Rattus norvegicus: one gene and its partners. The protein of the gene in region 6 binds, or shares a complex with, the protein of the main gene of each other region. Links are inferred from orthologs where the notes say so. Each region holds a gene or a part of one and is shown on either strand. Other genes may lie near its edges. The genes, in order: Taf4, Taf7, Taf11l1, Taf10, Taf13, Taf6 and Taf5.

Region 1 (3,500 bases), on a different chromosome or scaffold from region 6:
GGGCTCAGGTTATCTGCTGACTTCACTACAAGGCCTTTCCTACTGGCTCTTGGCCCTGGTAGTGTCAGGACTGCTTGTTCTGCTTGTGTCTGACCACACCTCTGTCAGTGTGAGCTCCTGTTGTGGATGCAGAGGAGTGGCTTGCCTCATGCCCTCTGTGGAAATGGAGAACAGGTCATCTGACTTGGTGCCAACAGAGTGCACCAAGGTAACTACCGTTTATAACACAAATGGCCCGCATCACCCTGCTCACTGTGACTCTTGATGAACAGAACAGCCTTTCTGGACATTACTATGTCTTGAGATTCTTGTGTGCAAACACCAGAGGCCAAATTCTGGCCTTCGCTCTGACTGAGCAGTGGGGGGTGGTTTGAATTTCAGGAGCCTCTTCATCCTCGAAGCTATTGAATGGGGCTGGAGAGAGTTGGGAACTATATTGGCTCTGTAGGGTAAGGAGCAACCAGGCAGATCAGGACAGGTCACCTGAGTGGATCGGGAGAGAGGCTAAGTGTGTATGTACAGCATAAACGCCTGTACTACCCGCTTCTCGGTGCTGTGGCCAGTGTTGATGAGGAAGCTGGAGCTAGGGACGTGGGTAAGCTAGGGTTGGCCGCAGTCTTGGGTCCCAGCTGGGCAGGGAGGAATGCTTAGGAATGCAGTGGAGGCTGGGGCTCCTAATTGGTCTGTGGGAAGAGCCTAGGCACATTCCTGTCACTCATATCTTACCTACTAGAAGCCATTTTCCAGTATAGACCAGGGCTGCCCTTCAGGGGATAGTGGTTAAGAGCAGGGACAAGCAAACGACAGTGTGAGCTGTGCCCACTTCATCACGTCAGGACAGGGCTCAGGTAGTGACATGAGGTGGGCTGGACTCCTTTCTATAGCCCAGGCTGCGCTGGTCATCTGGATGGTCAGCACTTAATCAGATAGGGCAGGATCAAAAGGCTGAGTAGAAGTGAGCTATGATTGACTTGTAAGCAATAGGAAGGTTGCATGTGTGTGTGTTCAAACTTCAGGATGCTTCCACAGTACTGGTTAGCACTGGGTGTCACTCTCAGCACACACACATACAGGCAGCAGGGTGGGACGGGCAGTGCAGTTCAGTGAAGACTTCCAAGGGTCAGGCTTCAAGGAGGACTCTCCTGTCGTCCTACACCAAGGGCGTATGTGTTAAAGACAGGCTGAAGGGTGTTCAGTGAGGGACACTGGAGGGCCTGTTGCTGGATGTAGACCTCCCCAGGGAAGAGGTTGGTCTTGGGACAGTGGCCACATGTGGACAGGTTTTTAGGCTAGTCCATTTTCACAAGGAAACATCTGTCTGGGACTGGCTGGTAGTACTCTGTGCTGGCTCTGAGTGAGTTTTGTGCTCTTCTAACTCCTCTGAAAGCTGCGACTGAGAGAAGAAATTTTCTTCTTTCTTTGAGAAATTTTCAGGTAACATGGAGTCTTCAAAGCAACAGATGGTGTTCTGGGTTTTGTTTTCTTGGGACAGACTGTGGACGGTGGGCACAGAGCTCTCTGTGGACTCAGTTTAGCTGTGACCTCACACAGTTCTTCCTTTGAACACTTCAGTTTTCAAACAAGGCAGCAAGACACTGTCAAACAAAGGACAAGGCCAGTGTAGGAGCCTGGTGTGTTTGTGTAACTGTGTGTGTGTGTGACTGTGTGTGTGTCTGTCTGTTCATCTCAGTGCCCTTCTGCTGCTCCCTGCCCCTTGCAAGATGCCACTGAATTGGAACCACCTGAGTGAGCTGTGATTTCCTAATGCCACAAGAATGTTCCTCTCTTCTCACAGGGATGATGACGACATCAATGATGTTGCGTCAATGGCTGGAGTGAACCTGTCTGAAGAAAGTGCAAGAATATTGGCCACAAACTCTGAGTTGGTGGGGACATTGACCCGATCCTGTAAAGATGACACCTTCCTCCTCCCCGCGCCTTTGCAGAGGAGGATACTAGAAATAGGTACGGCTGCAGCAGGTGACGCCACTGGGACGCCGAGAGTCCCTGTCTGTCTGATGTGTTCCATGACCCTGGCGAGACGCAGTCCGACCTTTCTGCTGTAGCCCCACTGCCTTGTCTTGGGCTCACCCTATACAGACTCCACTGTTGGTTGGCAGGTAGTAGAAGGTGGACAGTGACAGTCTGCTTCCTGCTTAGACTGCCTTTGATTGTACAAAGCAGTAACTAGTGGGTGAGAGAAGCCAGGGCCGTGATAAAGAGAAGCTGGGTAAGTACCATAAAGTGCTTTTTTCTGCATGGCCTGCAGGTAAAAAGCACGGCATCACGGAACTGCATCCAGATGTAGTGAGTTACGTGTCTCATGCCACACAGCAAAGGCTGCAGAATCTTGTAGAAAAGATATCTGAAACGGCTCAGCAGAAAAACTTCTCTTATAAGGTAATGAGGCTATTTTCCTGGGGAGAATGTTCGTGTTCTCACCGCGTGACCTGGGCTGTCTGGAAGCCCTGTTGTCCTGGTTGTTCCTGTGCTCACTGTTAGCCACACACACTACCTGCAGGTGTGCTCAGGTGCTCCTGCGTCGGGAGACGGGGCTGTGAGCGTAGGAGATTACGGAGTCTTGTGCTCTTACTCCATCTAAAGAGCCAGGTCCTGCAGCCTGGCCTATTCGAGCCATAAGCTACAACTACAGGCTGTCCGCCGTGCGTGCGTGCGTGAGAGAGGGAGAGAATGAATGAATGAATGAATGAATGAATGAATGAATGAATGAATGAATGAATATGAAGTGGGTTTTCAGCCAGAATACGTCTTGAGCACTTGCACAGATGAAGGAGTCAGTGTCTGAACATTCAGAGCAGCCCGTGGTAAATTGTCAGCTTTAAAACACTTCGAAAGTTGGACTTGGTGGTGCACACCTTTATTTCTGGTACTCGGGAGGCAGAGGAAGATGGATCTCTGTGAGTTCAAGCCCAGCCTGGTCTAAAATTGTGAGTTCCAGGCTAGTCAGGGCTGGACAGAGGACCCTGTCTCAAAAACAAAAATAGACAGACACTTCTATACAGAAGGACTTAAATATGGCTTCAAAATGCCAAAGTGTATCAAGTTGGGCCTTTCGTGGGTTCCTGGTAACTGGACGAGACTTCCTGTCTTTGTGAGGTCGGGACTGGAGCAGTGGGATGTGAGCAACTGCCACACCATGTCCAGCTGTGCCAGGCACATCCATGCTTGTTGAAGTACCGAATCCACCGCTGACAGTGTCTGTACTAACTTTTTGGGTTTTTTTTGGTAGGATGACGACAGATATGAGCAAGCGAGTGATGTCCGGGCGCAGCTCAAGTTCTTTGAACAGTTGGATCAGATTGAAAAGCAGAGGAAAGATGAGCAGGAGAGGGAGATCTTGATGCGGGCAGCAAAGGCAAGTTAAACCCCATCTGCAGCTCAGGCTCAGCTTGCTGCCCCCTCCTAGCTGCTCACCAGGCACTGGCTTGTGCTCACCGCCATTTCTGGCAAGTGTGGAAAGAAGGGTGTTGTGAGTGAAG
Region 2 (4,141 bases), on a different chromosome or scaffold from region 6:
TGGAAGGAACCACAATCCAGAAATGGAGGGCACACCTGTGATTCAGGTCTTGAGGCTAGAAGACACATGGATATCTTGAGGCATAGTGACTATGAAAAGCTTAGGTCCAGGCAAGGTAGTACACACCTCTAATCCCAGACAAACAGATCTCTGAATTCCAGGCCAGGCTGGGATAAGCCAAGTTCTGGATCCAGGAGTGGTGCTGCACACCTTTAATTTGCGCTATACTTTCTGCAGGAGGCCTATATAAGGACATTGGAAGAAGGAAGACTCACACTTCTTCAATTGCTTGCACTTACTTCTTACTTGCCAGCACATCTGTTGGTACCCACTTCTTCAAGATTCCAGTTTATACAGAAGACTGGGTGAAAGAACTAACCTCGTGGGACTGAGAAACTAGATTCTTGAACTTTCCATTCACAGCTGCCCATTGTTGGGTTAGTTGGGCTACAGACTGTAAATCATTACATTAAAATCCCTTAATGTATACAGACATTCCAGAATTTCTGTGACTCTAGAGAACCCTAACAGTACAGACAGTACCAATGGGCAAAACAAAAACAGACCTAATTATCAAATTTCATAGTTTTGAGAAAGTCTCTAATGTACTAACCTTGTTTTTTGGCTTCTGTAGTTCTGTCTCTGGAAAGTGGTTTTTGTAACAGAAACATGCCAATGTAGAACATTTGTTTGTGCTTAAAAGCTCACCCTGAGAAAGCCTTAGGGCCACACTGGGATCCAGAACACCCAATGTAGTCGCTGGCTAGCTAATACTTTATATTGGCTTAAAACTATGTCCAAGCAGCCTTCTTTGGTGGATACCCAACAACAAAATCAGAACGTTTGTGTTTCAGGCAAGGCAATTCTGTTCTTAATGAACCTGTGTCATCATAAAAACATTTGTATACAGTTATATCTATCAAACATATTACCAAAATAGCGTATCATACATATCACACCTCGTCCTCTGGAGCCAAAAATACTAACGAAGCTAAAGGCTTAGTTCCTCTCAAAGCTAATTAACATGATTATACACAGCGTTATGTGGTAGACAGCAAAACTGTATCATTCCACTGTTTTGGCCACTTTACTTTCACTTTGTGATGCTTCCAAAGCTTTTGGCGGAGGGACCGGGTATGCCCTGGGAAGAAAAGATGCTTTCTGCAGGGACGCCCTTTATCTCTGGCAATCACTCTAGAAACTGTCTTAACCCACGACTTCATAAAAGTGCTGTCTTAGGGGGTGTGCTTATGTTTTACTTTTTGGAATCTTCATCTTTGAATTCCAAGCCAAGGTTTTTCCGGAAACACTAGTTTTAATCCTATACAAGGTAAGTTCTCACGAGAAGTAGTCACGAGACGACGTAATTACGAGAATGCGCCTGCGCGCGCCGCGACGTTACTACTTCCGGAAGAGCGGCAGCCAGCCCCTCCGCGTCTACTTCCGGTCTTTGACGTAGCGCCGCGTCTGCTTCCGCTCACTGCCGTAGCACTTTCTTTCCTTCTTTTCTGCGTGGGAGGAGGCTTGGCAAGGTCCTCTCCGGAGTTCGGATGTTTGAGCGGCAGTGTGGCGAGGTTTCGCGCTGCGGGTCCTGAGCCGTTTCGTTGTTAGCGCTCAGGTCGCCTTGCCGGGCGGCTGAAAGCGCGGACAAACTGGAAGGTAGACGCACCGCTCATCGCTGCTTTACTCAGGCCGAGAAAAGCTGAGTTCATAGTTGCTGGTGAACTGTAAGTACCCGAGCCGAAGAGCTCACGACTTTTATTTAAATCTCTTACTGGAGAGAATCCGTGGATTGGGATTGCCTGCCAGACGGACGGACTGTGCCTAAAATCCCCTCAGGCGCTGCTGTTTTCTTTGGCTGTTCACGTGATGCTGCAGCGGCGTCTAGAGGCCCTAATTTGGTATTGCATCTAGTAGAGGTGTGAGTTTAACAGGGACAATGCCAAAGTGGGATGCATGTTTAGAGATTAGTATTGGGACTTAATTATAAATTAAGACAAAATAGGCAGTAGGTGATGATCCACTTAGTTGCTGTTTTCCTTAGAACTCAGTAACTAAGAGTTTAAGATTATTCTTAACCTTGTCCTTTTTTTAACTGTTGTAGGAGCTGGAACTTGTTAGTGCAGCAGGTGTTTATTGGAGAAGTAATTCACAAGGAAGTGAAGATGAGTAAGAGCAAAGATGATGCACCTCATGAGCTAGAGAGCCAGTTTATCTTACGGTTGCCCCCAGAATATGCCGCTACTGTGAGGAGGGCAGTGCAGTCTGGGCACGTCAACCTGAAAGATAGACTGAGCATTGAGTTACACCCTGATGGGCGTCATGGGATTGTCAGAGTGGATAGAGTGCCCCTGGCTGCAAAATTGGTAGATTTGCCGTGTGTTACGGAGAGCTTGAAAACCATTGATAAAAAAACCTTTTACAAGACAGCTGATATCTCTCAGATGCTTGTAGCCACAGTAGATGGTGATCTATACCCTCCTGTGGAGGAGCCAGCTGCTACTGCTGATCCCAAAGCAAACAAGAAAAAAGATAAGGACAAAGAGAAAAAATTTGTTTGGAACCATGGAATTACTCTACCTCTAAAAAATGTCAGAAAGAGAAGGTTCCGGAAGACAGCAAAGAAGAAGTACATTGAATCTCCAGATGTGGAAAAAGAAGTAAAGCGGCTGCTGAGTACAGATGCAGAAGCTGTCAGTACTCGTTGGGAGATAATTGCTGAAGATGAAACAAAGGAGGCAGAAAATCAAGGCCTTGATATCTCCTCTCCTGGAATGTCTGGCCACAGGCAGGGCCATGACTCACTAGAGCATGATGAGCTTCGAGAGATATTCAATGACCTCAGCAGCAGCAGCGAAGATGAAGAAGATGTAAACATCATTGACACTGAAGAGGATCTGGAGAGACAGCTACAGGACAAGCTAAATGAGTCAGATGAACAACACCAAGAAAATGAAGGAACCAATCAGTTGGTTATGGGGATTCAGAAGCAGATTGATAATATGAAAGGCAAGCTTCAAGAAACCCAAGACAGAGCAAAGCGCCAGGAGGATCTCATCATGAAGGTAGAAAACCTGGCTCTGAAGAACAGGTTTCAAGCTGTTCTGGATGAGCTCAAACAGAAGGAAGACCGGGAAAAGGAGCAGCTTAGCTCTTTGCAAGAAGAGCTGGAATCACTTCTGGAGAAGTGAAAAGGTTGACTTTAGTCCTTAGACTAGTCAGCTTAAGAAGAATTTATTTTCAGAGTGAGGTCTTGAAAAATTCTTCTTTTTTCTTTGAAATATTCTTATTTCCTGTAATGCTAGGAGTTATTGTGTTGATTGTTTTCACTCTTAAGAAAATAGGATTACATAGGCAGATTTGTTGTAGTGTAAGGTTAGTGAAGTGACAACACTGAGCTTTTAATCACTTCACCATAGGACTTTATTACAATTTGTTTCCTAAGTTTCTAGTCCTATTCTTCGGTGCTAAGATCAGTAAGAAGCTAGCTAGCCTACAGGCAATGGAGTGTTTTTTTTTTTTTTTTTTGTTTTTTTTTTAAGAAATATATTTTTTTACCTTCTCAGCAAGTTTCCATGTTACAGAAATGCAAGTTTTTTCATAAAAGTTGTTTTTTGCACAATAAAAGTTACTAATTTTCACTTTGCTTATCTTGTTCTTCAATGAATACTGAAAGTTGAGGTGAGCTCATGGAGTTTAATGGCTGAGTGGTATAGATCAAGATACATGCTGTTGTTTTGCCTTTTTAGAAAAGGAATACACCAGATAAGGAAATGGAGAAATTCATCTTTGCATTATAGATTATGGTTCAGGCCTACCTACACCATCTGGAGGTTTGTGAACACTCGGTCCAGAGCCTTCTTAAACTATCCTACTTTTCATTGAAGGATATCTGTCTATATCTTTTTATTAAACACTAAAGTTATCTATAAAATACTGGAAGCAGTTAAACAGTTATCAGATGAACTATTCCACTTGCTTAGATTAAGATTATATTCTTAACTGTTGCCATTTTAATTGCTATGCTTTTTTAATAGGCATGTTTGTTCATGTTATTTCATTAGTATTTGCCACTATGAAAGCCTGTTACCAGGTCTGGTATTTTAAAATTTCATACATAGAATTTTTCTCTGAGGCATTT
Region 3 (4,061 bases), on a different chromosome or scaffold from region 6:
CTTTAAGTCTCAAATTTTGTGGATTTCTGACGTTTTTGAAGACCATCCATCTATATAAGACAATCTGGACTGTTGTTTTCATATCTTAATATTTTTTTTTTGGTTCTTTTTTTTCGGAGCTGGGGACCGAACCCAGGGCCTTGCGCTTCCTAGGTAAGCGCTCTACCACTGAGCTAAATCCCCAGCCCCTTCATATCTTAATATTATCTTGAAAGTGCTCTCACAAAGTCAGAGCCATGAATGTGCTATTTGGCCCTTAACTCACATATGTAATCAACTCAGAAGTTTGTATTGACATAATTAGAAGGACTGGCTCTAAACCTTGTACTTTTAAACTTTTTTGACAAATAAATTCTATACCAAAACAAAGATATGATTTTAGCTTAGTTACCAAATGAGATAATGACTCTACAACTCAATCTAGCTAATTCCTCCCTGTTAAATTACAACCATTTCTAAGTTCCTCATAAAAACAACTTTAGAATAACTGCTTTCAGCCCCCCAAAAGTCCAGGGAATTGGGGCGACGACTCCTCCATAACTTCCTCAAGCTGTACATGGGCGTTGAGCTATCCTTGGGGGTAGGAGGCAGGAAGAATGAAGCAAATGCTGAGCAGATGTGTCCTGACTGGACCCAGCCGAAAGTCCTTGAGACCAGGAATCCAAGGAGGCACACAATACAACAATCAAGACAAAATATAACCATAATATATATAACCATAAAACTCAAGGTCACGGGCTGGAGAGATGGCTCAGTGGTTAAGAGCCCCGACTGCTCTTCCAGAGGTCCTGAGTTCAATTCCCAGCAACCAAATGTAGACACCCCATCTCTGACTTCCTCACCAGCGGTGCCTAGGTATCCAGAGAGGAAACTGGGAACCACACCATTCAACCCAGACCCCTCTGTTCCCATTCTAGTTCTGTGGGTAGCAGTGCCTGACATCATCCAGAAGGGAAACATTCACTGTGGACCCCCTGTTCTGGCTTTTGTTATGCCGCTCAGGGCTGGCATGATGGTGGCTGCTAGACACCTCCAGCAGAGGCAGAATGCAGTATGACATCAGAGCAATGTGAGTTCTTTATTTTTTATTTAAAAAGACAGCCAAGAGCTGGAGAGATGGCTCAGTGGTTAAGAGCACTGACTGTTCTTCCTAGCAACCACATGGTGGCTCACAGCCATCTGTAATAGGATTTGATGCCCTCTTCTGGTGTGTCTGAAGATAGCTACACTGTATTCATATACATAAAATAAACACATTAATTTTAAAAAAAGTCAGCCAAATCTTTATTGGGAAATGGGTCCCTAGGAAGTGAGCCTGGGGCCCTCGTTGCACATCTTGTTCCTTAGCACTGTTCCAAGAATTCCTTTTTTTTTTTCTTTCTTTCTTTTTTTCAGAGCTGGGGACCGAATCCAGGGCCTTGCGCTTGCTAGGCAAGCGCTCTACCACTGAGCTAAATCCCCAACCCCTGTTCCAAGAATTCTTTTTTTTTTTGGGGGGGGGGTTCTTTTTTTTTCGGAGCTGGGGACCGAACCCAGGGCCTTGCACTTCCTAGGCAAGCGCTCTACCACTGAGCTAAATCCCCAACCCCCCAAGAATTCTTCATCGCGTCTCGTGTTGTGGAGAACTAGAAAAGGTGTAAATATTGCAGGCCTTCAAAGGCATCGTCTGCTCTGAAAGCCAGGTCCACTGTGACTGAGGGCCTGTGGCTTTGCTACCTGTTTAGTGAACCATGTGCTCGACTCCTTGGCCTCAATGAAGTTGGTGGTCTTCTTGTGCCGGATCATGAGAAACACTTCCATCCCTGTGACTGACTGCTTCTGACTTGATGCACCAGACCTGAGCAGTGTCAACAACAGGCATTAAATATTTTAATTGTGTGCAGTGCAGACCTGGCGCAGACGCGGTCCACGCCCAGCGAAACCGCCCATTCGACAGCTGGGGAAGAACGAAGTGGGCACACTTGTAGGAGCTTCCCGAAGTGCTCGCCTTCCCAAAGATTTGGGAACCTCATGGGACTGGAAATGATCCTCATTGGTCCAGGCACTGTAGAAACAAAAGAAATGTGGGAACGGGATACTAGCTCTGTTCTGACGGGAGGCAGGTAGCCAATAGTTGAAGCATTGAATGAAATCGTTGGATATATTCTATTGGCACTAGAGATGCTTGCGGTACAGAAGAGAAGCCCAAGCAGTTCCCTGGTGGACCCAAGCCGCGGATCTCAGTTCTTTGGAAAATACGAGGTTGAGTCTCTGCCGGAAATTGCTCAGTCCAAGGCAGCAACAAGCAGCCGGACGGAGTTTTCGCCCCGTTCCGGACTTTGCGCTCAAGTTAACGGATTAATTGGCATTACATTTCCAGGAAGGAAGGAAAAAAAGAAGTCTCTCGGTAAACGAATTGTACGCCCTTTCGAACACGCTTCTACCCTAAAGCGGAGGATCTATACTTTTACATTTCTTTCTGGTTAAAACAAAGTCAGTATACAAGAAGACCCTGAGCGATCGAGACTCTGAAAATGACCCCTCCCAGGAGCCGTGGGCGTGACGTCATCGCGGCGCGACCACAAGCAATAAGGACCAGCTCCAAGCCATAAGCCTCAGCTATAATATAAGTCCCGCGGCAAAACTCGCTGACCCTCACTCCTTCGCCCGGCCGCGCTGCCTTCGCCTCTAACCCCCTCCTGTCGCGATGGAAAACCTTGGAGAGTCGCCCACGGACAAAGGCGGGGAGTCAGAGGAGTCGAGGGCTACTCCTGGGAACCCGTTAGCGGCAGACACTGAGGGAATCCCTGAGGAAACCGATAGGGATGGAGACGTGGACTTGAAAGAAGCCGCGGCAGAGGAAAGGGAGACCAAGAGTCAGGATGTCTCAGGTTTGACAGCAGTTGAGAGGGAAGACTCATTTCTTACTCCTGCAGCCAAAAAGCTGAAACTAGAAACCAAAGACAAGAAGGAGAAGAAGCAGAAGGTGGACGAAGATGAGATTCAGAAGATGCAAATCCTGGTCTCTTCTTTTTCTGAAGAGCAGCTGAACCGTTATGAAATGTATCGCCGGTCAGCTTTCCCGAAGGCAGCCATTAAAAGGCTGATCCAGTCCATCACTGGCACCTCTGTGTCTCAGAATGTTGTGATCGCCATGTCTGGCATTTCTAAAGTTTTTGTCGGGGAGGTGGTAGAAGAAGCCCTGGATGTGTGTGAGAAATGGGGAGAAATGCCACCCCTGCAGCCCAAGCACATGAGGGAGGCCGTGCGGAGGTTGAAGTCCAAGGGGCAAATCCCCAGCTCAAAGCACAAGAAAATCACCTTCTTCTAGATCTAACAGAGACTGTTCAAGACTTTCCGTATAGTTGGGCTTCTGTACTGAGGCTTTGTTGGTGGTGAGCCCAGGACACTTGATGCTGACTTTAATGTTTCTGTTACACCTACAAGGCACGTAGTGTGCCTCAGACTTGCCTTCACTCAGTCATAGACTGTCCTCAGGCATGTTGAAGAATTTCACAGACTCTTGGCTATTTTTAAGAAAAAATACACAGGGACTGTTAGTATCTCCTGGAGAGGGAGATGATTTCAGAGAAAAACAAGACAACTACAGTTTCACATTGAAGCCTAAAGTGGCTAAGATTCAGGTTGTTTCGAAACAAACTTTCTCAATAATCTGCTGTGAAGACAGTCACACCATAATTCGATTCTCACCGTTAACATTTCAGGTTGTCCTGTGTATTTTGTGAGGGATTATTAAACTTTTCCAACCTGTGTGGGAAACTTTGTTTTATTTTGTTGCAGACAAAACTTATTGTCCTTCCAATAAAACTTGGATTTTTTTTCCTTGTTTAAAAATACAAAACAAAACTTTTAATTGCCCTGGGGCTGAGTTTCTCTGACCCTGACCCAGAATGGTTGAATTCAATTTGACATGCCCTGTAGGAGGCCCCTTAGGGGGTTAATCTGAATTCATTAGCCTACTACTGGGCTTTGCCACACCTTATGCCTACTGCAGAAGGCTGAGCTTTCTTTTGGATTACTTCTAGAAAAACAACAACAACGAAAAACATTGTGCCTACGAA
Region 4 (2,949 bases), on a different chromosome or scaffold from region 6:
CTTAATTTTCATTTTTTTTCACCTCCCTACTAACTTCAACAAGTTTTACTGACTACTTCTCCAGATATGTCTTTATCAGCTAGCGTGGTGATGCTCACCTTTAATCCCAGCACTTAGGAGGCAGAGACCAGGCAAGCCTCTCTGAGTCCATCCTGGTCTATACAAAGAGTTCCAGGCATGCCAGGCCTACGTGAGACCATGTCTCGAAAATACACAAACGTGCGTGCACGCGCGCGCGCGCGCGCGCGCACGCACACACACACACACACACACACACACACACACACACTACTGCATTATCTTTGAGCCCATGTCCTTTTTCCTCTAAACTGCAGGAAGTACTTGGGTAGGGGAGAGCCTTCCAAAGCCCCTCAGCATCCTTGACCATGGGTAAGTCATCTTCTAAACCAAACAGTATATTTATTTGTGCAAACCCTTCAAAGATTACTGGGTAAAAGTCAGGGACATTGAAACCTGCCTTCAAAATTGGGAAATAAACATTGCTAATGTCTGACACTTGGAATTAAGCAGCTGATGTTAGTTCCCTACTTCCTTGCACTCCACCTACGTGTATCTGGGAAACAACCATACAGTATTAAAATTGTCTGCCTTCCTTTTCCAGAGCTTGGTGCTAGTGAACTAGAATCTGATTCTTAACTTTGTATTCCTAGGTCCCAACCCTGTAGTTGGCAAATAGAAATTAAATAAATGACTGTTGAATTGCTAATGTGCTTCACATGTGACTTTGGCATGTTATTTCTTCGGGGTGAAACACCTATCTCTACATTTACAGCAGCACGCTTCTAGGACCGTTGTGGGTGGGAGGGACACACACCAAATCCACTAAAATCCTTAAAGACAGTGAAAGGGAGCGACAAAGAATGAAGACTGTTAAGGAGACTGGTAATGAAGTATCTGACATATGAGTCCCCAAGTCAAATCTGCGCACCCAGATGAAATGAAGTGTGCAGTCCTGGATTCTTCGCGGTCCCATCTGGGCAGGGTTGAGCCGCAGGGTGGAGGCTAGGTCTTTCACAGTTTACCTCTGCCAGTCTACACCTAATCTGCCAACAGCCAACCTAAGGTCGCCCGCGGCGGACTAAAGCGGTGGGGCGGGAACTGTGACGTCACGCAACGTGCGCCTGGGCGAGCGGAAGCGGAAGTAGCTCTGGTTGCCGCCTTTCCCACCAGCCCCATGAGCTGCAGCGGCTCCGGCGCGGACCCCGAGGCGGCGCCAGCCTGTGCCGCCTCGGTCGCGGGTCCGGCGCCCCCGGTGTCCGCTCCCGCTGCGCTGCCCACTAGCACGGCCGCGGAGAGCAAAGCCAGCCCCGCGGGGACAGCAGGGGGCCCTGGAGCTGGAGTCGCCACTGCAGGCACGGGCCCCGTGGCGGCACGGGCAGGGGAGCCCGCGGAGCGGCGCGGACCGGGTGAGCTCCGGGCCGGGTGAGGGAGGGGGGAATCTCCGACTGGGTGCCGCAGCGGGGGTTGGGGGGACCCTGCGCTTCTCACCTGTGTTGTTGATTCTCCTTCAGCTTCGGTGGCAGCAGGCGGCGCGGCTCCCCCTGAGGGGGCAATGTCTAACGGGGTTTACGCCCTACCGAGCGCGGCCAACGGAGAAGTGAAGCCCGTAGTGTCCAGCACACCACTAGTGGACTTCTTGATGCAGTTGGAGGATTATACACCTACGGTGGGCTTCCCGCCTGTACAAGGCCACCTGCCTCGCTGTCGTGCCTTTCAACCGCACCTTCATGCTTTCAAGCGTCCTCTACTAGGAAGCTGTCTCTTTATTCTTCCTCCCCACCCAGCGCATCAGTAGGCAGAGCTAATAATGACGGCTATTTGATTTTTCAGATCCCGGATGCAGTGACTGGTTACTACCTGAACCGTGCTGGCTTTGAAGCTTCAGACCCACGCATGTGAGTAAACTCAGAGGTTAGACTGTTGAGTGCTGGGTGGAGTTTGTTAAATATCTCATTACCACCACCCCCTTCCTCTCTAGAATTCGGCTCATCTCACTAGCTGCCCAGAAATTCATCTCAGATATTGCCAATGATGCCCTACAGCACTGCAAAATGAAGGGTACAGCCTCTGGCAGCTCCCGGAGCAAGAGCAAGGTGTGAGAGGTTCGCCTTCCACAGCAGTACAGACTTAACTTATCCTGAAAGCCTTTTGGGGAAGCAGCATCCTAGGGGAGGTATTGGGCCTACTCAGGGTTACCCACAAAGGACTGGAATCTGGACTTGCTGTGCTCAGCTGGTGGTCTTCCCTCTTTCCCCCAGGATCGCAAGTACACCCTAACCATGGAGGACTTGACCCCTGCCCTCAGCGAGTATGGCATCAATGTGAAGAAGCCGCACTACTTCACCTGAGCCACCCAACCCAGATGTATTTGTCTTCCCCTCTGTCCCCACATGAGCCTGTTTTCATAATAAACTTTATTGTGACAGGCGGGGCTGATCCCTCCCATGTTGGGAGACATCAAGTGGCAAGTGACAAAGCTCTGAGCCCAGCCCTCTCTGGGGCTACAGTGGTAGGGATGGGAGCAGGGAACAAGCCCCATAACTGGGGTAGTACCATGATTAGAGACAGGGGAGGCAACCAGAGATCTTCAGCTTCGGGGAAGTGCATTCCCCCAGCCATATGCTGATACTTCTGAAGTTTGGGCAGGGACCTTCAAGTCCTACTTGTCCTGCATCTTCTCCAAGATAGGTACAATCATGTCAAACTTGGGTCGCTTTGCAGGGTCTTCATTCATGCAAATCTTCATGAGCTTACACACGTGGGGGGAAATACCTGGTGGGATAGTAGGCCGAAGGCCTTCCAGTGCCACCTGCAAATTATACAGAACAAGGTGAGCTTCTGAATTTGAGTTCATCATATGGGCAAAAGCCTTTGACCCTTGAATGGTAGGATTACTATAGATCTGTATACACTGCAGGAAGGGCTTAC
Region 5 (3,500 bases), on a different chromosome or scaffold from region 6:
TGGGTCACGCAACACTCTTGCTCTCTCACAGTGCGCTGTATGATGTATGGGTTTGGGGATGACCAGAATCCTTATACGGAGTCAGTGGATATTCTCGAAGACCTTGTCATAGAGTTCATCACTGAAATGGTAAGATACTTTGTAACTATCACTTTTTTGTTGTGTTGATTTTTGTAACTGTTAATTGAAGGTTTAAAATGTTAAGCTTTAGATAATGCTAGAATTTTTGAAATAAACTATCTGTTTGAGTGCCTGCTTTGTGCAAGTTCCTGGCTTCTATTTGCCCTTACTATGGATAGTACGTAAATGTATCTCAGAACTTCTGAGCTTTGTTTGTTTTATATTTCACTTGGTGTGTACAGGTGTTTTGCCTACAAGTATGTCCCTGTATGTTATGTGTGTCTGGTGCTCTTGGAGGCCAGAAGAGGGTGTTGGATTCCCTGAAATTGGAGATACAGACAGTTGTGAGCTGCCATGTGGGTGCTGGGCACTGAACTCCAGTTTTCTGGAAGATACCATTGTTCTTAAGCACTAAGATGTTTCTACAGCCCCTGAGTTTTATTTGTAAAAACATAGTATCTTTGAATAAAATTAAAAGTATTGCCCATAATCTCACCCAGCCTAAGTTCTTTCCCTTCCAGTATTTATTTAAAGGTATGTACAGGGGGTTGGGGATTTAGCTCAGTGGTAGAGTGCTTGCTTAGGAAGCGCAAGGCCCTGGGTTCGGTCCCCAGCTCCGAAAAAAAGAACCAAAAAAAAAAAAAAAAAAAAAAAAAGGTATGTACAGCTCATGGAATACCTTTGGGATTTTTAAAAAATTCTATTTCATGTGCATTGGTTTTATCTACATGTATGTTGTGTGAGGATGTCAGATACTTTGGAACTGGAGTTAAAGACAGTTGTGAGCTACCTTGTGGATGCTGGGAACTGAACCTGGGTCCTCTGGAAGAGCAGCCAGTGCTTTTTTTTTTTTTTTTTGGTTCTTTTTTTCGGAGCTGGGGACCGAACCCAGGGCCTTGCGCTTCCTAGGCAAGCGCTCTACCACTGAGCTAAATCCCCAACCCTGAGCAGCCAGTGCTCTTAACATCTGCACCATCTCTCCAGCCCCTGGTCTAACATCTTGAATGACCATTTTTATGGTTTTCTTCTTTTCCTTTGTTTGGATGGATTAGCAGGGGTGAGGTCACTGAGTTTGGTTGGTTTTAGTTCTTATGAGTGTTCACCCTTTACATTGGACCATCTCCTTACTACAGAATAAGTGAAAGGATTACTCAGCCAGGGCTGAGGCTGTTCGGTGTGTGTACAAGGGCCTGCACATGTGGCGAGTATTTAATCCAGTTTACCTCAGCTCAGGGAAAACATTAGCCATAGTAGTGCCAGATTATGCTAATATGCGTGTGCGAGGCCCTGGGCTCAGTCCCCAGCAGCATATTAAATGACAGAGCCTGCCATAGTGGCTCCTACCTGTAATCCCAGAATTCCAGAGAGAGTCAGGAGGATCTACTACAGGATGTAGCAGGTTCTAGGCCATCCAGAGCTACATAACAAGACTAGGATTTCAAACAAACAAATAAAATGAAATAAAGACATCTCTCAAACAAACAAACAGATAAAAACAAACAAAGCAGCCAGGCAGGAGAAGATGTCATTTCGGTGTGCTCGGCATTCAGGAGGCTGTGGTAGGTGGACCCCAGTTTTAAGACCAGGCTAGGTAGGCTAGGTAGTAAGACCCTTTCTCAACAAACAGAAACAAAGCTGAGCATAGTGGTGCATGCTTTTAGTTCTAGAAGTTGTAGCAGAGGCAGGAAGATTGCCTCATTTGAGACCAGCCTAGTTTCTGGATCCTGTCTCTATAAAAAACAGTCAGGAGGGGTTGGGGATTTAGCTCAGTGGTAGAGCGCTTGCCTAGGAAGCGCAAGGCCCTGGGTTCGGTCCCCAGCTCCGAAAAAAAGAACCAAAAAAAAAAAAAAAAAAAAACCAGTCAGGAATCAGAGATAAGTTGGCTTGAGTTCAAGGCTAGGCCAATCTACATAGTAAGTTCTAGTTATATAGTGAGACTCAAAAACATGTCTCAAAAACAAAACAGCAACAAAAATAATGTTATAATTGTGTCTCCAAGTATAGATTTTTTATATAAAAGATTTAAGCATTAGTCTTAGGATCAGTTTTATTATTTAGCCTCCCAAAACCTCCCTTCTTTCCTTCCAGCCTACTAAAGCCTAATTGTTATTTTCCTAATCTCTATTACCTACTCATTAGCCAACCCAGAACACATTTAACAAGACAAAAACTTCACCTATATCATAAAATAAAACAGAAGTATCTTCAAAAGTTGCTAGGTTTTTTTTTTTTTTTCCTTTTTCTTTTTTTTCGGAGCTGGGAACCGAACCCAGGGCCTTGCGCTTCCTAGGCAAGCGCTCTACCACTGAGCTAAATCCCCAACCCCAATTTGCTAGGTTTTGTTGTTGTTTTAGTCTGCCAGTCTGTCTGACCATCCATCTGCCTATCTGTCCATCCATCTATTTTTAAGGCAGGGTCTCGCTATATGTCCCTGGTTAGCTTGGAACTTGCTTTATAGACCAAGGCTTGTCTTGAACTCACAGAGATCTGTCTGTCTCTGCCTCCCAAGTGCTGGAATTAAAAGTGTGTATCACTCTGTCTAGCTCATTTTGGTAGTTTTATTGTCCGTAATGAAAAAAGAAGTCCTGTAATGCAGAAAGAAAATACTGTCGATTATGCAATAGAAAGGCGGTAAGGAGGGCTAGAGAGATGGCTCAGCGGTTAAGAGCACTGTCTGCTCTTCCAGAGGTCCTGAGTTCAATTCCCAGCAACCACATGGTGGCTCACAACCATCTGTAACGAGATCTGATGCCCTCTTCTGGTGTCTGAAGACAGTTACAGTGTACTCACATGCATGAAATAAATAAATTCCTAAGTAAGGAGATGATCAGACAGCTGGTTCACAAATGTAACACTAGCGTGATTAATAGAAAATTAAAACACAAAAATATTTGGCCCTTAAAAATTGATGTGTTTCCTTGTCATAGACTCATAAGGCAATGTCAATTGGAAGACAAGGTCGAGTGCAAGTTGAAGATATTGTCTTCCTAATTCGAAAGGATCCGAGGAAGTTCGCTAGAGTTAAAGACTTACTAACTATGAATGAAGAGTTGAAACGGGCTAGAAAAGCTTTCGACGAAGCCAACTATGGATCTTGACACCGTTTGTGATGCCCGGGATTTTGATATTTTCTGTGGAAACCATACATTGTATTTGTTGTCTGCAGTAATATCGTGATAGCTAGGCATGCAATGACAGAGGCCTTTGATTTTAGATTTGTAACGTGAGCCTTTTGTTGCCTGTCTTTATCTGACCATATTTGAGTTGCTTACTGGCCTTGAATAACTCCTAACTTAAAGTATTGCAAACCATGCAGTTCCACCCGAAAGGGGGAAGTAGTACTTATTCTTCAGGTAGACATGTGCATTCCAAGCTGTGTA
Region 6 (4,090 bases):
AAAATGAGAGATTAGAATAAAGTCATGGGTAACAATGACAATAATGTTGTTGGGTGTAAAGTGAAACGATAATAAATCCAAAGAAAAAGTTAATGTCAGGGAGCCACAGGATATTTTATTCAGTGACCTGGCTTCCTCCCTGTTGGGAGTAGAGTGGGGAGGGGGGCATTTACTGATGCAGCCAGGGGCTGTGCTGCTTGTTGTAAAATCCCTACAGTGCAACCCATCTGCAAAGTCTCACACTGATGGGCAACTTCTAAGTGGTATGATGGTGTCTCCATCTTTTGTTTATGAGCTTCAGCTGGGGACTTACTCACCTTTAAACCCCTGAAGGGGGTCATCAGGCCTGTAATTTGCGAGCGTCTCTGCCAGGGCGGGGCACAGTACGTCTATAAGGTATGAACCTTACACCCCACCCATGCAAGTTGTCTAGATTTTTAACAAGTAGGGAAACGCACTGAGAAAGATGCTCGGTAGAGCCAGCGTTACAGGTTCGTGAACTACAATTCCCACAATCCATTCAAGCCCAAGCCCGCAAGAAAAACCTAGCTCCTTCTGGATGCCACCTGGGAAATGTAGTGCCACCGTAACACTGCTCTCCTTCCCTCGTTCCCATTCAAGTGTTACCAAGCTCCAACAGAACCTCTTTCAAGACAGTTGAGTGACCCATCTATCCTAGTCCATTTGATTCAGCCTAGAGTTAAAGGCAGGAGCTAGGATAAGGAGATGCAAATAGCAACTGCTCCATTTCTGTACCTTCGCATTTGCTGGGCAAACGTTCTGTATCAGCTTCTTCTTCTTTTGTCATTCCAGTCCAAGCACCGTACGCTGCCAGGATGAAAAGCAGTATTTCCAACCGCACAGGTCCCATGACAAAACGCAGTTCACACATACACACAACCACCTCTTGCCTTCAGACTAACTTCTGAAAGGGAGCGGGCCCTTTAAACTTAGGCGCAGCCGGCAGCAAGCCTTTAAAAAAAAAAAAAACTTACAGGGGACGGTCAGCGCATGCCCAAAGTTAGCCCGAAAGTGGGTGGAGCCTAATGGCTCCAGGCTTCCCGGCCTTACTTTTGTGGCGCCTCCTGAAGGTCCTGGCAGCTGGGTAGTGAAGATACAAATTGAAGAAATTAGAATAGAGTAATGTGATCTTTACATATACACGTAGAATTTAATTTTTAAATAATTCCAGACTGTGAAACGATATGGTCTATTTTGACATAGGGAAGAGCAGTGATAAGTTCTTGGCTTCTGCCAGGACCTACTACTGCCAGGGGGCGGGGCCAAGATGGCGCCGAGCGCCGGGTGAGCGGCGCCTTGGCAGCGGTGAGAAGCTTTTACTGCTCCCGGTGCTTGGCTGGCGGGGGAAGGTCTGAGGTGTACCCGGGAGGAGACCCTTTGAAAGGGCCCATGTGAGGACTGGGAAGAAGACGGTTGGTTGTGTGTCCGTGCTAGTGGGGACCCTGTGCATGATTGCACTGGAAGGATGTTGGGGAGATGTAGTAGATTGTGAACCTCCTGTAGCGCTGCCCGGGGAATCTTCGAATCACTTCCCTGCTGAGGAAAATGATGCACAGATATAGCTCAAGTTATCCGTCCTCTGAGAAGTCTTCCTGTCGTTTCCACTGATCTGAGAAATTCCGGAGGGTGTTAGTGTTTTATGAACCCTTAGTGGCAGGGGACTGGGACCCAACTGCCTCTTGTATACTTGGCACCAGGTTCAGAGTATGTGCTGAATAGTTGTATTTCCTGTAGACAAGATTTAACAAAAGTCTGAGAAAAATTGGGATGGAAAGAACCAGGGTCTTTGGCCTCCACCCCCAACCCCCACCCTGGCACACACACACAAACACACACCCCTTTTCCCCAGCACTCAGCTCTGAACACTCCTGAGGTTGACCTCATGTCCAGTGTCAGGCAAGCTCCTTTCCATTTGACCACAGAGTAAACTCCAAGCTTGGGTCTGTGTCTTTTTCATTTTGGTAATTGTTATACCAAGTATTTAGTGAACACTTACACCTTTAGGACTTAAAATTCATATATTTAATAATGTCCTAGGTACTAGTCAATCTAGGCACCAGATTGGTCAGCGGACATAACAGACATAATCCTGTCTACTGGTGGGGTAAGAATAATAAACAAGAAAAATAATAGCTTGGCGGTAAACAGCTGTAAAAGGCAGGAGGATCTCCAAATCAAGGCCACAGAATGAGTTCCAGACAAGCCTGAGACCCAATTGTAGAAGGGTTGCTTAACATGTGGAAAGCTTAGATTTAATCTAGAGTGATTATATAGAATACATATATATAATATATATCATTTATTATTAGAAGAAATTTTGGCAAACAAGTAAAGCCAGGCATGGTGGTATGTGCTTATAATCCCAGCACTTGGGAGGTGGAGGCCAAAGGACCAGGAGTTAAGACCAGTGTTGTCTACATAGTGAATTTGAAACCAGTCTGGGCTGGGGGCCACCTGCCCCTAAAGAGAGGTGGATGGGGTCAGATAAGGTAGTCAGCCAAACACATTTAGGAAGAACACAACAAAAGTTATAAAGCCAAGTACACTACATACCTGTCAGATTTAAAGGACAGCAAGAAGAATGATGTGTGACAGGTTAAATGGGAAAAGGAGGGATAGGTGATCAGACGTATGAAGGAAAAGAAAGGAAAAGGAAAAACCACTTAGGCAAGACTCAAACTTGCTGTCTGTGCACTTTAGCCTCCAGAGTGCTGGGGTTACAAGTGTACAGATGTAGGGTCTCACTCTGAAGCATGACCTGGTATAAAACTCAAGGCAGTCCACTGAAATCAGAAGGGTTGACCCGCAGAACTGGACAAGAGACAGATCTTGAAGGGAAGGCCTTGGGAGGGTTTTATGTCAAAAGGGGAACCATTATAGGAAAGAAATAGTTATCTGCTTTATATTTTGACACTTAAAACCACTTTGGTTTTAAGGAACAAATGCAAAAAAAAAAAAAAAAAAAAAAGTAAGATAGAAATAGGAACACCTTGTCCAGCAACTGAGTTCAGCAGATAGGCCAAAAAGGGTCTGGTTGGACTGCCTGGTAGGTTTTAATACCATGCTGGGAATCAACCCCAGGTCCATATACATGCTATATCTTCCAGCCCTTACTTGATGGATTTGTTTCAAGCGTCCAGATAAGAATGAGTTGTGCTGGATGTGGTGACACATGCCTATAGTCCCAGCACTTGGGAAGTAGCAGGACCAGGAGTTCAGGGACATTTTCAGCACATATGGAGTAAGAGACCAGCCCGGACTACAAGAGGCCCGAGAGAGAGAGAGACAGAGACAGAGAGAGACAGAGAGAGAACAGGCCTTTAATCCCATCATCCAGGAGGCGGAGGCAGGTGGATCTCTGAATGTGAGACCAGCCTGGTCTATAGAGCAAGTTCCAGGTCAGCTGGGGTTACACAGCCTCAGGGTAGAAGGGTAGGGGACAAACTGGGTCTGGAGATGTAGCTCAGTTTTTAAAGTATTTCCCAGCACCACAAAACTGTCGGGGTACGTCTATAATCCTAGAATTAGGAAGGTAGCAAAAGAATCCAGAGTCAAGACTTACCTTTTATTACATAGTTTAGGGCATGGCTAAAGAAACCTATCCACAAAAGTAAGAGCAAACAAACAAAAAAATTGTCACTGGGCATGTTACTACATGCCTATAATCCTAGTACTTGAAAGGCAGAAGCTGGGGGCTGGAATTAGAAGTGTTATGGCTCCATAGTGAGCCCCTGTGTCTAAAAGAAAAAAGACAGAGCAAGCCGTTTGGTAGCTTTGCTTTGACGGTGAGCTGTAAGTAAGGAGAGAACGCAGATGGAGGCTTTGAACTGTTTTCCTTTTTGTCTTGCCACATCCCACTCTTAGGATCTCCATCTCTCCACCCTGGGGTGACATCCTTCCAGGGACAGGAGCTGGAACTCCAGCATGGCTGAGGAGAAGAAACTGAAACTCAGCAATACCGTGTTGCCCTCCGAGTCTATGAAGGTGGTGGCAGAATCCATGGGCATTGCTCAGATTCAGGAGGAGACTTGCCAGCTACTGACAGATGAGGTCAGCTACCGCATCAAGG
Region 7 (2,993 bases), on a different chromosome or scaffold from region 6:
GGAAGCAGGGCCCTCGGTGTAGACCCTGGAGGGAGAAATATTCCCCTCTCACATTTTCAAGTTACAGCTGTGAATTATCTTCTCCAAAAGTTAATCCTGAATAGCATGAAAATACGGCTTGCTGGACTTTGTGTTCTTGACAAGATACAGTTATATCCAGTGAGTAAACCCCATTAGATCAGTGTTCTTACCGAGCTACGCGGTCATGGCCTCCTGACACGAAATAATATCCATATGGAGAAAACTGTGTGTCCCACACTGGGTAGTTGTGCCCTTTATATCCAACTAAGCAAGTGAAAGTCTGCAGGCTCCAGAGTCTAACGGTTCCATCCTCTGAAGAGGAGAGTAGGTAGTTCCTGAGGAGAAGAGGCGGTGCTGACTGATTCTCAGTACAGTCTAGTTACCTGTCCAAGTTTCTCCCAACCTCACATTTTAACAACTGACATGCACCTATGTTACATTAGTGTGTGCGTGCACATGCTCCTGGGAGTGGGCGCAGAGTGCTGAGGACTCACCCTCAGGCCTTGCACACGGCAGGCAGGCAGGCATTCTACCACTGAGCTACACATCCTCAGCTCCCTCACCTGTGTGTGGAATGCAGGATGCATGGGTATATTTAGGAGTCTTCCCTGGATCAATCTCCCAGATGTACCCAGAGCTTGTCAGCAACCCCAGCTCCAGGTCTAGAACACTGGGATCACAGGAGGGCCGCCAGGCCAGCATTTATATGGGTGCTGGAGATCTAAAATCTGATTTTCACACTTACATGGCAAGCACTTTCCTCACTGAGCCATCTCAGCCCCACCTCTCTATTCTTAGAATTCACAGTAGATAACAAAAGCTAAAAGTATTAAACTAATGTTAAGTGAAATCATGTCGAAGTATATCCTCAACACTTAACTATATAAAGCTAATAATGAAAGAAAAAAAAAAAAAAAAACAAGCCAAAACAAAAAAACCTGTCAAGACTATGGGGAGGGGTCACAGTGCTTTAGAAAAGAAAAAAGAAAAAAAATAGTGTGATAGCGCATGTGTAACCTCAGAACTCAGGTGATGACCCTGTGTTCAAAACACTAAGAAACTAGTACTGAGGCTAATAAGCAGTGCGGTTACCAGACAGTCTAGAAATGAGGTGCATCAGTTCTGAATATGTGATTTGCTGTCAGCATGGACTGTATCTAATAGAGAGAAGGAGTCGGGTACAGCTCAATAGCAGAGTGCACACCTAGTATGTGCTGGAGGCCCTGTGTTCAACCAGGACGCCATTCCCCTGCAGAATACTAACGTTCCACCTTTTTCAGGGATAAATAAAAAAGCCAACAGTTTTCACTGAAATCATTCTCTTCAAGTGAAATGTACCACTTGGCTAAATCCTATTAGGTACTGGTTTTGTTTTGTTTATTTCTCAAGATCTCACAAGTACAATGAAAACTCTGGTGGTCAAAAACTACTAAGTAGAATACACAAGATAATATGGGTGAAACCACCCTTTCCCAGCCATTTTTGCAGAAAGTTAGAAATGAAAATCAAGAAATACCTAAACACATGCTATTTCAAAACATGGTCTGGCTGTGATACCCAGTGAACCTTGAACCACAATTCTCCTTCCTGCCTTAGCCTCCAGAGAGGCTGGGATGGCAGGCACTTACTATGACACCCAGCTTTCTTCTGTTTTCCTGTTAAAATACCTAAATGCTTCCATTGATAGCTTTTAATGAGCAATTTCTCTTAAGTGTTAGGAAGTTCCATAAGAATAATCCACAAACTCGAACAATTCAACCTCTTCCAGAGGGTTATTCAAAAATAAAGCTAAATTCTGAAACTGGTGAAGCCATGAATGTATATCCTGATTTTTGTATATTCAGTATACACTTAGGTGCTATGTTATATTCCAGTCCCCAACATATATTAGCAAATGGTAAGATTCTAATTCTGAAAGATACTGAACTACAGGCAACCATAATGTTTGGCATTTGCATTTCATCTCCAGCAGTTAAGTTTGAAATCTCAGCACTGTTCATCAGCATTTAATTGTGTTTGAATTTTACCTATCCGGACTGAAGCTGGCTCCATAGACAGGCCCACTGTGACCATACAAAATCTTCAACTCACTTGCAGTTTTCTCATCCATGATTCTCTCTAAGACATCATCTGATTCTTTGTCTATAAGACTAAGATCTAAAAAGGTCCAGAAATAGTATTTTAGGTATATTATTTAAGGCAATCTCTCATAATTCAGAACTAACATTTCAACATTTCTTCCTCTTTACCAACAACACTATGCTAAATTAAGTGATCTGTCCCCTCATATAGAAAAAAATGAAATCTTCCAAACAGTTAATCTGCTAGACCATACAGTTACTCAGTATGACAACCAGTCTGTCCATCACATTTCATAAAAAGGAAGCTATACAAATCCTAAAACAATATAAACCTAACTGTTTAGGAAAAATAGCTATCAAAAGCATCTAAAATCCTGACCTTAGGAGTGGTTTCGGTTCTGTGTTTTGCCTTTTGTTTTCTGTATGTACCAATGCTTTCCCTGGATGATAAAAATGTACCACATGCATGTGTTGGATCCCTGGAACTAGAGTGATGGCTGGTGGTGGGAATCTCATCCAGGTCCTCTGCAGCAATGGGCAGTGCTCTCAACCAGAGTCCTCTATTCAGCACTGTGTTTTAATTTTTGAGACAGAGTCTTCACTGTGTAGCTTAGGCTCCTTTGAACTTAGTGATCCTCCTGCCTCAGTCTTGTATGAAGTGAATTTAAGCATGCATGCCATCACACAGGGATATGTCAGAGAACAATATGTAGGGTCAGTTCTCCTCAACCATGTGGGCTGTGAACACTGAACTCAAGTCTGCATGTCTGGTGGCAAGCACTTGCCTTTATCTACCGAGTTACTAAGGTTTAGTGAGGCCCTGCCAGCCTCACTAAGGTTTTCTTAAAAGTTATAGGCAAATAATCATCAGATATCACAGTTTTAACTTTA

The links.
Region 1: Taf6 (region 6) and Taf4 share a complex: the UniProt entries of both Homo sapiens proteins name them as parts of the TFIID basal transcription factor complex. The link is inferred for Rattus norvegicus from reciprocal best matches to the Homo sapiens genes TAF6 and TAF4.
Region 2: Taf6 (region 6) and Taf7 share a complex: the UniProt entries of both Homo sapiens proteins name them as parts of the TFIID basal transcription factor complex. The link is inferred for Rattus norvegicus from reciprocal best matches to the Homo sapiens genes TAF6 and TAF7.
Region 3: Taf6 (region 6) and Taf11l1 share a complex: the UniProt entries of both Homo sapiens proteins name them as parts of the TFIID basal transcription factor complex. The link is inferred for Rattus norvegicus from reciprocal best matches to the Homo sapiens genes TAF6 and TAF11.
Region 4: Taf6 (region 6) and Taf10 share a complex: the UniProt entries of both Homo sapiens proteins name them as parts of the TFIID basal transcription factor complex. The link is inferred for Rattus norvegicus from reciprocal best matches to the Homo sapiens genes TAF6 and TAF10.
Region 5: Taf6 (region 6) and Taf13 share a complex: the UniProt entries of both Homo sapiens proteins name them as parts of the TFIID basal transcription factor complex. The link is inferred for Rattus norvegicus from reciprocal best matches to the Homo sapiens genes TAF6 and TAF13.
Region 7: Taf6 (region 6) and Taf5 share a complex: the UniProt entries of both Homo sapiens proteins name them as parts of the TFIID basal transcription factor complex. The link is inferred for Rattus norvegicus from reciprocal best matches to the Homo sapiens genes TAF6 and TAF5.

Annotation. Positions count from the first base shown.
Region 1 is NC_086021.1:187,405,543-187,409,042, reverse strand, and holds part of Taf4 (transcription initiation factor TFIID subunit 4), read left to right. Parts: intron 1-1,795; coding exon 1,796-1,965; intron 1,966-2,269; coding exon 2,270-2,400; intron 2,401-3,250; coding exon 3,251-3,376; intron 3,377-3,500. UniProt on the Homo sapiens protein: The TFIID basal transcription factor complex plays a major role in the initiation of RNA polymerase II (Pol II)-dependent transcription.
Region 2 is NC_086036.1:29,710,676-29,714,816, reverse strand, and holds Taf7 (transcription initiation factor TFIID subunit 7), read left to right. Parts: upstream 1-1,492; 5' UTR 1,493-1,727; intron 1,728-2,104; 5' UTR 2,105-2,165; coding exon 2,166-3,191; 3' UTR 3,192-3,641; downstream 3,642-4,141. UniProt on the Homo sapiens protein: The TFIID basal transcription factor complex plays a major role in the initiation of RNA polymerase II (Pol II)-dependent transcription.
Region 3 is NC_086028.1:74,278,259-74,282,319, reverse strand, and holds Taf11l1 (transcription initiation factor TFIID subunit 11-like), read left to right. Parts: upstream 1-1,261; 5' UTR 1,262-2,686; coding exon 2,687-3,310; 3' UTR 3,311-3,759; downstream 3,760-4,061. UniProt on the Homo sapiens protein: The TFIID basal transcription factor complex plays a major role in the initiation of RNA polymerase II (Pol II)-dependent transcription.
Region 4 is NC_086019.1:169,506,440-169,509,388, reverse strand, and holds Taf10 (transcription initiation factor TFIID subunit 10), read left to right. Parts: upstream 1-1,180; 5' UTR 1,181-1,195; coding exon 1,196-1,427; intron 1,428-1,532; coding exon 1,533-1,687; intron 1,688-1,851; coding exon 1,852-1,916; intron 1,917-1,999; coding exon 2,000-2,114; coding exon of another isoform or gene 2,115-2,120; exon of another isoform or gene 2,121-2,123; intron 2,124-2,279; coding exon 2,280-2,369; 3' UTR 2,370-2,449; downstream 2,450-2,949. Other genes in the region: Ilk (integrin-linked protein kinase), read right to left, coding at 2,681-2,830. UniProt on the Homo sapiens protein: The TFIID basal transcription factor complex plays a major role in the initiation of RNA polymerase II (Pol II)-dependent transcription.
Region 5 is NC_086020.1:198,899,832-198,903,331, forward strand, and holds part of Taf13 (transcription initiation factor TFIID subunit 13), read left to right. Parts: intron 1-31; coding exon 32-129; intron 130-3,047; coding exon 3,048-3,218; 3' UTR 3,219-3,500. UniProt on the Homo sapiens protein: The TFIID basal transcription factor complex plays a major role in the initiation of RNA polymerase II (Pol II)-dependent transcription.
Region 6 is NC_086030.1:22,175,139-22,179,228, reverse strand, and holds the start of Taf6 (transcription initiation factor TFIID subunit 6), read left to right. Parts: upstream 1-1,290; 5' UTR 1,291-1,326; exon of another isoform or gene 1,327-1,433; intron 1,434-3,885; 5' UTR 3,886-3,945; coding exon 3,946-4,090. Other genes in the region: Cnpy4 (protein canopy homolog 4), read right to left, coding at 757-892. UniProt on the Homo sapiens protein: The TFIID basal transcription factor complex plays a major role in the initiation of RNA polymerase II (Pol II)-dependent transcription.
Region 7 is NC_086019.1:255,909,774-255,912,766, reverse strand, and holds part of Taf5 (transcription initiation factor TFIID subunit 5), read right to left. Parts: intron 2,179-2,993; coding exon 2,049-2,178; intron 357-2,048; coding exon 192-356; intron 1-191. UniProt on the Homo sapiens protein: The TFIID basal transcription factor complex plays a major role in the initiation of RNA polymerase II (Pol II)-dependent transcription.